Linked DNA regions of Nothobranchius furzeri. Each later gene encodes a partner of the first gene's protein in a complex. Links are inferred from orthologs where the notes say so. Each region holds a gene or a part of one and is shown in the gene's direction. Other genes may lie near its edges. The genes, in order: cyclin-dependent kinase 2-associated protein 1 and mta3.

Region 1 (4,538 bases):
TAAATCTTTCTGTGGTAAAGTGTGACCCTTTTGCCCCCTCACTCCTACATCTCACTAGGTCTGAAGACTGGCTGTTAAACTCAGGATGCGTTTTTGTGGGGCAGGTTTCTCGAACATACCCCGATCCTCTGGATTAGCTGGCGGTGGGTCTGCATCCACGTCTGCTTGACCGACGATGCATTTAAAAACAGACCTTTGTATTATTTGTACAGTTTGGAATTCTTCACACGGTGGATCTCAGTCTCTGGAAAGCACTGGGGGAGCTGCTCCTGAATCGCAGCTTACGTTTTAACTTGAATGTGCACCTTTTAAAAGCGGACGCCTCGCGCTTTTGTCATGTACACGAACTGCAGTGTGTGCAGGTTGTTTTTGAATGCTGTTGTAAGGGGAAGGGTCGCTTAAGATTCTCCGGAAACAACAGAAGGACTTTCTCCCACCTAAATCATCGCTGGAGTTGCACTAGTGACAAGACTTGTACTGACTCACCAGTACCTGTGCAAGAAGGAGTGCATTCTCAATAAACCCTGTTGGTTTTTGTACAAACTAGAAAATAAACACCAAATATAAAACATTAGTTATTGACTATATTTCATAATTTGATGGTTTAACTTAAATTTTTTTTTGTAGCTACTTTCAGGTTTATGTATTTTCATTTTTAAATTGTGTCCTTATAGAGGTTTAGACTTAAAAAATTCTACAACTAATGCTAAAATAGCATTAAAGTATGTATAAATATATATAATACTAGTGGCTATTGGAAAATGTGCATTACACAGAGAGTGTACAATTGTCCAAAAAGCCACTACAAGTACTTTTTAATAGTTTCTGTATAAACTTATACAAATGAAAATAGCCTTTTATTTTGTGGATTACCTTTGCCTATTTTTACTTCAGCGGTTTGTGATTACGCTTAGTTTGTAAGTTGCCAGCGATGATGCTCCATAAAAACGTGCTCCAGCCTCGGGTCAGCGATTGTGGGGGCCCCTGCCCTACTGGGGTCACGACACTGGGACTAACACTGTCCAACCACGTGGCCTGATGGGGGAAAAAAGGGATCCCTGAAAAGCCTAGTTTTAAAAAGAAGACGAGCACATGGGTCACCAGAACAGCTCCTGCCTTCTGCTTTGATTTTTGGTTTAAAACATCCGCGAATAAAACGATGGAAGTTCCCACACAAAACAAATTAGGTAATTTAATTTCTTTATTTTCTTTCATAATTTTTTTAAGTGTTGTAAATAAAACTCGCTCATTTGTTTGACTTAACGCAAACTAAGCATCTCCAAACATCTGCATCAAGTTTCTTGTTATGATGTAAAAACTCATTATTTTCTTTTAATCTGAAAAATAAAATTTCAAAGTTAACATAAAAACCTTCAAAAGTTGATTCTTCTGTAAGTGTTAAAAGTCCGTGGGCCGGAGTTAACTTTCTTACATAAAATCAGGCTAAATGTGTGTAAAAGCGGCTGATTTTCACGCCTTCTTGGTGAAAACCGTGTTTTAAGTGTTTTTCCTGCTGAGCCGCAGTGGATGGTAGAAACTCGGTGGGTGTCAATATAAAGTGACGGCCATATTTGCCGGTGCCGCTGTTGTAAACAAAAAGTGAGAGACAGACGCTTCACTGAATTTCGGGTCATTTTTATTTCTTTAATTTACAATGTCTCTGGGAATGTCTTATAAACCCAATGCCCATCAGCACATTCCGGGAACTTCTGGGAACCAGGGTAAGGCGAAACCGTGGGAGAAAATCCAAGCATCCGCCTGTTAAATCGAGTGTTAAATTCGGGGTCTCGGAGAATACCTGGAGAAGACCGTGTCTGTAGTTTTTGTCCAGTTATATATATAGGGTCAGATCCTGGGAGCTAGGCTAATTCATATCCGCCATTATTACTAATGTAAAAGAGCGCCATCCGGGAGCCGCGGCGGCCGAGAAACACGGTGGGGATGAGAAACGAGGCGGCGGCGGTTCCGAAAATGGGTTTCTCCGTCGTCCGGGGCCGCGGTCCCGCCGGGGGGTTGCCGTTACACGGTGACAAAAATGTATCACTTATGTCTTCTTGAGCCAGCCTTGTTCTGTTCCCTCCATGATGCTCCTCGGTCGGAGCTGCCGATTGATCTGCCTCTGAGAATTTTACGTCCCATCGAGGACACCTGGTGTTGGACACGGGTACTGCAGCTAAACAAAGAGGCAGCGCGGCGCTGTGTGAGAGGGTTAATAACGTGTTCACAAACGGGTTTTACATGAAATTAGCATCACTGGCTTACAATAGAACAATCAACGTGAGATTCTTTAAACGCGTTTTTAAAAAGAGTTTTAGTATATCAATATATTGTTGATGTCACTACAGTTCCAGGTGTAGTGAAGGCAGAAAACATGTCTAACAAAAGAAAAGCCCTCTGTTTTATTTTACGAACTTTGTGTTTTCACTCACTCATTTTCTGGCTCTGTTTGGGAGTGATGAGCATCAGGAGTGAGTTTATCAGGGGGACAGCTCATGTTAGGTCAGCGGGCTCCTGGAGGGCTCCCATATCCAGCATGTTTTACTTGTTTCCCCGCTCCAAAGAACCTGAATCAGTGGTTGAATTACTAAGTGCTGCAGAAGCATGTTAGTCACATTTGTTGGGACGAATAAATGACTAAAACATAGGAGATCTGGAGGACCAGGGTTGCAGAACACTGTTTTGGAGATGAAGTCAGAGAGACCAGACTTAGAGGTCCAGAGGAAACATTACGTAGGTAGAAGGATGCCGAGGGTGGAGTCAGCAGGCAGGAGGTTGAGGGGGGATTCAGTGAAAGAGGACATAACATTAGTTGGTGTGAGGGTAGAGGATGTGGAAGACAGGACTAGAAGGAGACAGATGACTGGCTGTAGAGGGACATGCCCAAAGCCAAAGAAGAAGACTCCTTTTCTGTGCCGCCTCATCCTCTATAGGGTCTTGGGGAACTGGTGTCTCAGCATTCTGCGGACGAGTGGTCACCCTAGACAAGTCTCCAGTCCCTCACAGGAACACAGAGACAAGCAACCACTCTGACTCACACCAGAGACAGCCATTTACACCCAAAGACACGCTTTTGGTTGGTGGGAGGATATTTACTTTAGAATTGCTTCAGTTTGAAATCTTTGGTGGTTCAATCCTGACTTCTCCCACATGTGGAAATGTCCTTGGGCAAGACTCTGAATCCTGTGTGTGTGTGTGTGTGTGTGTGTAAAGCGCTTTAACTGGTCATTAGGCTATAAAAATGTTGTATAAATATTTTCCTCCTACTGTTTATGAAAGGATATTGAGAACAATGCTACACAGAATTGGGGAAACATTCAGTTTTATTCGTTGTCCTCGCTCCTCCATTCTGTCACCACAGCATTCCCAACACTTGCTGTGAGTTTTAGCGTTTCAGAACCTCTTAACTGGGCGTGGACATCAACGGCAGATCGCTGCAACGACGTTGCAATAGCGACAAATTAGCCATATATTGAATATCTATGTTTATTTGAACTGATGTGGATTTTTTATTTGTTCTCCATACAGTTGGGAACCTTCCTTCTCCGTCGGCAGCTAACCTGGCCACGTTGCAGTCCTACAGGCCCATTCTGAGCGACTATGGACCTCCATCTCTGGGATTCTCGCAGGTGACTGCTGCCATTGGCCAAAAGAAGTTTTATTTAAATTTTAGTGTACTAGAGGTACAGTGTAGTCTAACTTAAACAAATTATACAAGAAACTCCACATCCAAATATCAACCATCTGCCAACACATAATCGGTTATTAGGGGCTCGACACACGGGAGGCGACAAACGACCGCGATCAGTGAAATTTGTCGCCGTCGCTTTTATTACCTGTCACACGGGAGGCGATCCGCGGTAGCGGCCAGCGGCAAAGCCGTCTACGCGTTCTGTTCCACGGCGAAATCGAAACTTCCGTTGTTTTGATTGGCTGTGTCAGGTTGGAGGGAATTAAGGTTATTTAAGCGGTTCAGAGTTAATAAAGTGGTAGATATGATGTTTCACAAGGTGCTGCTAGAGTTATGTGAAATCTTACTTCTGATTTTACTATAAAACATAATAATAATCAACTTCTCCTCCATGTTTGCTCGGAGATGTACGGAGCATCCTGTCCGCTCATTGGTCAGTGAATGAAACCTCCGTTGATTGGTCCTCATCCGAGCGACAGCGATGAAAAGTTGAAAATGTTTCAACTTTCTGGGATCGCGTCGCTGGGTCGTCCGTGCACGACACGTGCACGAGTGCAAAGTTTCACACGCACGTTTTTCGCGTTTCGCTTGGTAGGAGGGAGACCCGCGATTATCGCTTTGTCACGCATGTCTCATTGAAAATTAATGGAGGAGAGGCGACGTCGCCTCCCGTGTGTCGAGCCCATTATCCAAACTAAACAGTCAGATGTCACTACTTGCCATCAGCTTACATAAAGCCAACAAATGTCCGCTTTGTCAAGCTACCCTCAACATTGGCAGTCAACTTCCGGTTCAGAATGATAAAAGCGCACTTATTTTCCCGATTGAAATGGGTACTTCTAATAGCGTT
Region 2 (3,821 bases), on another chromosome or scaffold:
ACATGTTGAGAGTGTCAGAGGGCCAGGGGACCCGACTACCCAAAACCAGAGCCGCCCAAAGGAGCACTCTGACCAGTGTTGTGCAGTTTCTAGGTAAATCCACACAAAGAAACAAGACCACCGCCCTCATAAGTGTCAAACCAGTAAAGTCATCAAATATTCAGATGGTCTGTATGAACCACTTCATGCAGCTCCGGTGTGATGTGTCTTCCAGAGTCCCGTCCAGTGGCCCACGCCCCTCGCTCCCATCGCACCCCAGGACTGCAGACACCCCCCCCTCGGCGCCTCCTCTCGTCTCTTCCACATGGCCCTCACGGCATGCTGGGAAAACGTAGCTACCATCACCACAGCAGGGCTGAACCAGAAAGACGCTCAGGTACTCAGAGACTGAAGGGATCCTACAAGAAAATAAGAACCCCTCATTTTATTCTTTTACTAATTGTGTTTCTAGAAACATGAGATCTGATTTTTTTTTCATGTAAACATTTTTACTTGCAGAATTAAACTCTTCAGTCTAATCAGGAGTTTAAAAAAACTCACTTTATCGTTATGTTTCTTAGAGATGAAGTGAAATGAGCAGATCAGGGCTGTGCAGGAATCAGACATCAATATCAGCCCTCAAATCTAGAATCGGAGCGCTTCTAGATCTGAACAAACTTTTGCATTTCAACAAAATAGACCCTGAACCTTTTCTGCCCATTTAACAGAATGTCATCTAAATCTAATAAAAATGAAGAACGCATCATTTTGATCAATTTTTCTTTTGGAACTTTCTACCTTTTCCTCAATTAAAACATGGCTTTGTAGCAATATTGTTCACAACTGACCGTTTACCCCTTTCTCTGGTGTGGCCTGCAGAAAACCCAGGCTCAACAGCTGGACCTGTCATGGTATGTGTGGGTTCACTTTTTGAGCTAACGTTCCTCTCCTGCATCCCTGCTTGTTGTCATTAAAATAACTTTTTTTGCAGCATAATGGTCGCAACAGCAGTGGAAACAACCGAGGAGGAGTGATGATCCGCAAGAGACGCCCCAACTGGATCGATGCTCCCGATGACAGCTTCTTCCTCGTCACCCGGGAGACCAGGTAAGCAAAGGTGACCCTTTATTGACCTCTGATTGACTAATTGTGTGTGTGCGTGTGTGCATGTAGGAAAAGCGATACTGACAGCAGATAAGCTGTGATTGAAAAGGAGTTATTTTTAACCTGTGTTGACTTCAGTCATCTGTAAACTGCCCAACAGAGAGACTGAATCAAGAGTTTATAATGAGAGATTATTTAATAGCTGACCTTTAAGCTTATTATCAATAATGTTTTTTGCTCTTGTCTGTTTGTATGTTTGACATGTTATCAATATGTCACCACTGGAGTGATTTTTATTTTGTTTATTTTTTTAAGTGATTACCATTCTGAGTTGACCTTAACAGAAACCGGCCATCACAGCTAAATGACCTTAGAAAACACAAAAAGGTCTAAAACTCAGATATTGAGCTGTCATTCCTTTAAGATCTACATGAAATCATGTTATCAGTTTATTTTCAACATTTGACCAAAACAACTATAACTATTGTTTGTTAATGTAAAATCATCTTTGTTTTAAGTTCTATAAAAGGCAACTTTGAGGCTAGCATTCAGAATTTATCCCAAAAGATTTATTTTATTGACTTTTTGAAAAATGTTGATTAAAAAGAATATCAAAATAATGTTTGTTTTAATCCAGATTTTTAAATGGAACACAAATGAAATCATTCCTGTAACTTAAGAAGCTGCAATCGATCAATCAACCAGCCAACCAACCAACCAACCAACAAACCAATTAACCAACCAACCAACCAGCCAACCAACTAACAAACTAATTAACAAACCAACCAATTAATAAATTAACCAATCAACCAACCAATTAACCAATCAGCCAATCAACAAACTAATTAACCAATCAACCAGTCAGTCAACTAATCATCAATCAATCAATTTTATTACAAAGCAAACAGATTTTCATGAAGTGTTTAAAACGTAATAAACTTGACATGTTTTCTAAACCGGCTAAAGAACATCAGCGTGGATCATCCCTAACATGAAATCTGAGAAAGTTTATCAGGAGTAGGGTTGTCACGGTGTGAAAATTTAACCTTACAGTTATTGTGACCAAAATTATCACGATTTTCGATATTATCGCGGTATTTTTTTTAAACGTGTTACATTTTCAGACTAAATAAACCTTGTATATCAGGAAAATATTGTCCTCAGTTTGTGTCTAAATTTTGCCCTAAAATGTGTTATTTTGTAATTATGTTGTTTATTTGTTTACATATTTCCCCTTTAGTCTTTAAAATACAATATTTGCCCATAACTTCTTATTTTTGTCTGTTTGATGTCATAATTTTAAAAATATTAGACCAGATGATACTCAGTAATCAAGTAGTCTTCTAATCAGATACTTTTTTACCCTTACTTGAGTAATAAACCCTATATCAGGAAAATATTGTCCTCGGTTTGTGTCCTTCTTTGCAGATTTGGGAAAATGTCATCAGGCAGTAATCATTGTTAAATTCATAATTATTCTCGGAGAGAGACCAGCTCTTATCTGCCCCTGGGAGCCCCGTAATACATAGCGTCTTTTCAGTATGGGGGCGTCCGTGACACGGTTTATATGCAGGTAGCGGCGCTGCGGCTGCTTTAAATAGCGACTCGTTGCATTCTCCCACAACCCAAATCCTCAGATCATGCATTTTAGCTAAAACGTTAACGTTAGCTTGCCTTGCGTTGACTGTAGAGTTGAGGGTGATGGTCACGCAGATGTGTCATGAGATTTGAAGCGTTGCTGCCTTTCAGACACTTTTTCCTCACTGTAAAAAAGACAGTCCAGTGAACTTAAAAAAGTAAAGCAACCAGTTGCAATACAATTTTAAGTTCAGTCAACTTTTTAGGTGCTTGCTTTTCTGTATTAACTTAACATTTTGCAAGTTAAAACGTTCAACTGACTTAAAACTTTAAACTCTCCAAACTAATTGCAATTTGGATTTTTAACAGTGCTGCACGTGCTGCAAACAGGATAGCCATCTTCTATCAACTGTCCCTCGGCATTCTTCAAATATCCAAAAAAAATGCCCATACATCCGATTTTGTCTTCTTTGAGGGATAATAAATGTCCTGAGTGCTGCCGTCTCCTCCTTTGGCCATTATTTCAGCTTTAGCTTCAAGAAAGTTTTGGCTGTAAACAACAAAGTGCCGCCAGCAACTTCAGCAGATGTGGTGGCTGGTAAGGGTCACCGCGCCTACATCGCAGCCACGGTACTCCACCGAGATAATATTTTTTTTTAAAAAACAAGACAGTTATTATTATTGTCAACTTTTTTACCGGGGTTTACCTACACCGGTTACCGTGACAACTCTAATCAGGAGCTAACTTCATTCCATTTCATGAAGTCTGATTCATAAAGGTTTTTTCCATCCTTCTGATGCACTTTCATCATTTTAAACATCTTCCGTTTATCTGATTCCTTTTTCTCCTTCCATCTTTTTTACATCTCTGTATCATCCTTACCCGTTATCTGGCACTAGGAATACATTTAGCAAAGTGAATAAGAAACATCTGTGATGCCAACGTAAAGCTAGCTGATTAATGTAAACATTGTTTACTTGTGAGAAGACTCGTGTCTCCACCTCTAACGTCACACGGTGCACATCAAACCACTTTCTTCTGCCCTCACAAGCACTTAGGAGACTGAAAATGAACACCATTTCATACCATTAGCACAGCTTGTACTGCATCAACATCATTACAGCTGCAGAAGGGAGTTTGTCATTGGGAGAGAGTGACA

Evidence for each region.
Region 2: cyclin-dependent kinase 2-associated protein 1 (region 1) and mta3 share a complex: the UniProt entries of both Homo sapiens proteins name them as parts of the nucleosome remodeling and deacetylase (NuRD) repressor complex. The link is inferred for Nothobranchius furzeri from reciprocal best matches to the Homo sapiens genes CDK2AP1 and MTA3.

What each region holds. Positions count from the first base shown.
Region 1 is NC_091746.1:75,833,782-75,838,319, forward strand, and holds the start of cyclin-dependent kinase 2-associated protein 1, read left to right. Parts: upstream 1-1,546; 5' UTR 1,547-1,654; coding exon 1,655-1,721; intron 1,722-3,525; coding exon 3,526-3,626; intron 3,627-4,538. UniProt on the Homo sapiens protein: Inhibitor of cyclin-dependent kinase CDK2. Also acts as a component of the histone deacetylase NuRD complex which participates in the remodeling of chromatin.
Region 2 is NC_091756.1:43,872,919-43,876,739, forward strand, and holds part of mta3 (metastasis-associated protein MTA3), read left to right. Parts: coding exon 1-93; intron 94-214; coding exon 215-376; intron 377-858; coding exon 859-890; intron 891-970; coding exon 971-1,086; coding exon of another isoform or gene 1,087-1,090; exon of another isoform or gene 1,091-1,096; intron 1,097-3,821. UniProt on the Homo sapiens protein: Acts as a component of the histone deacetylase NuRD complex which participates in the remodeling of chromatin.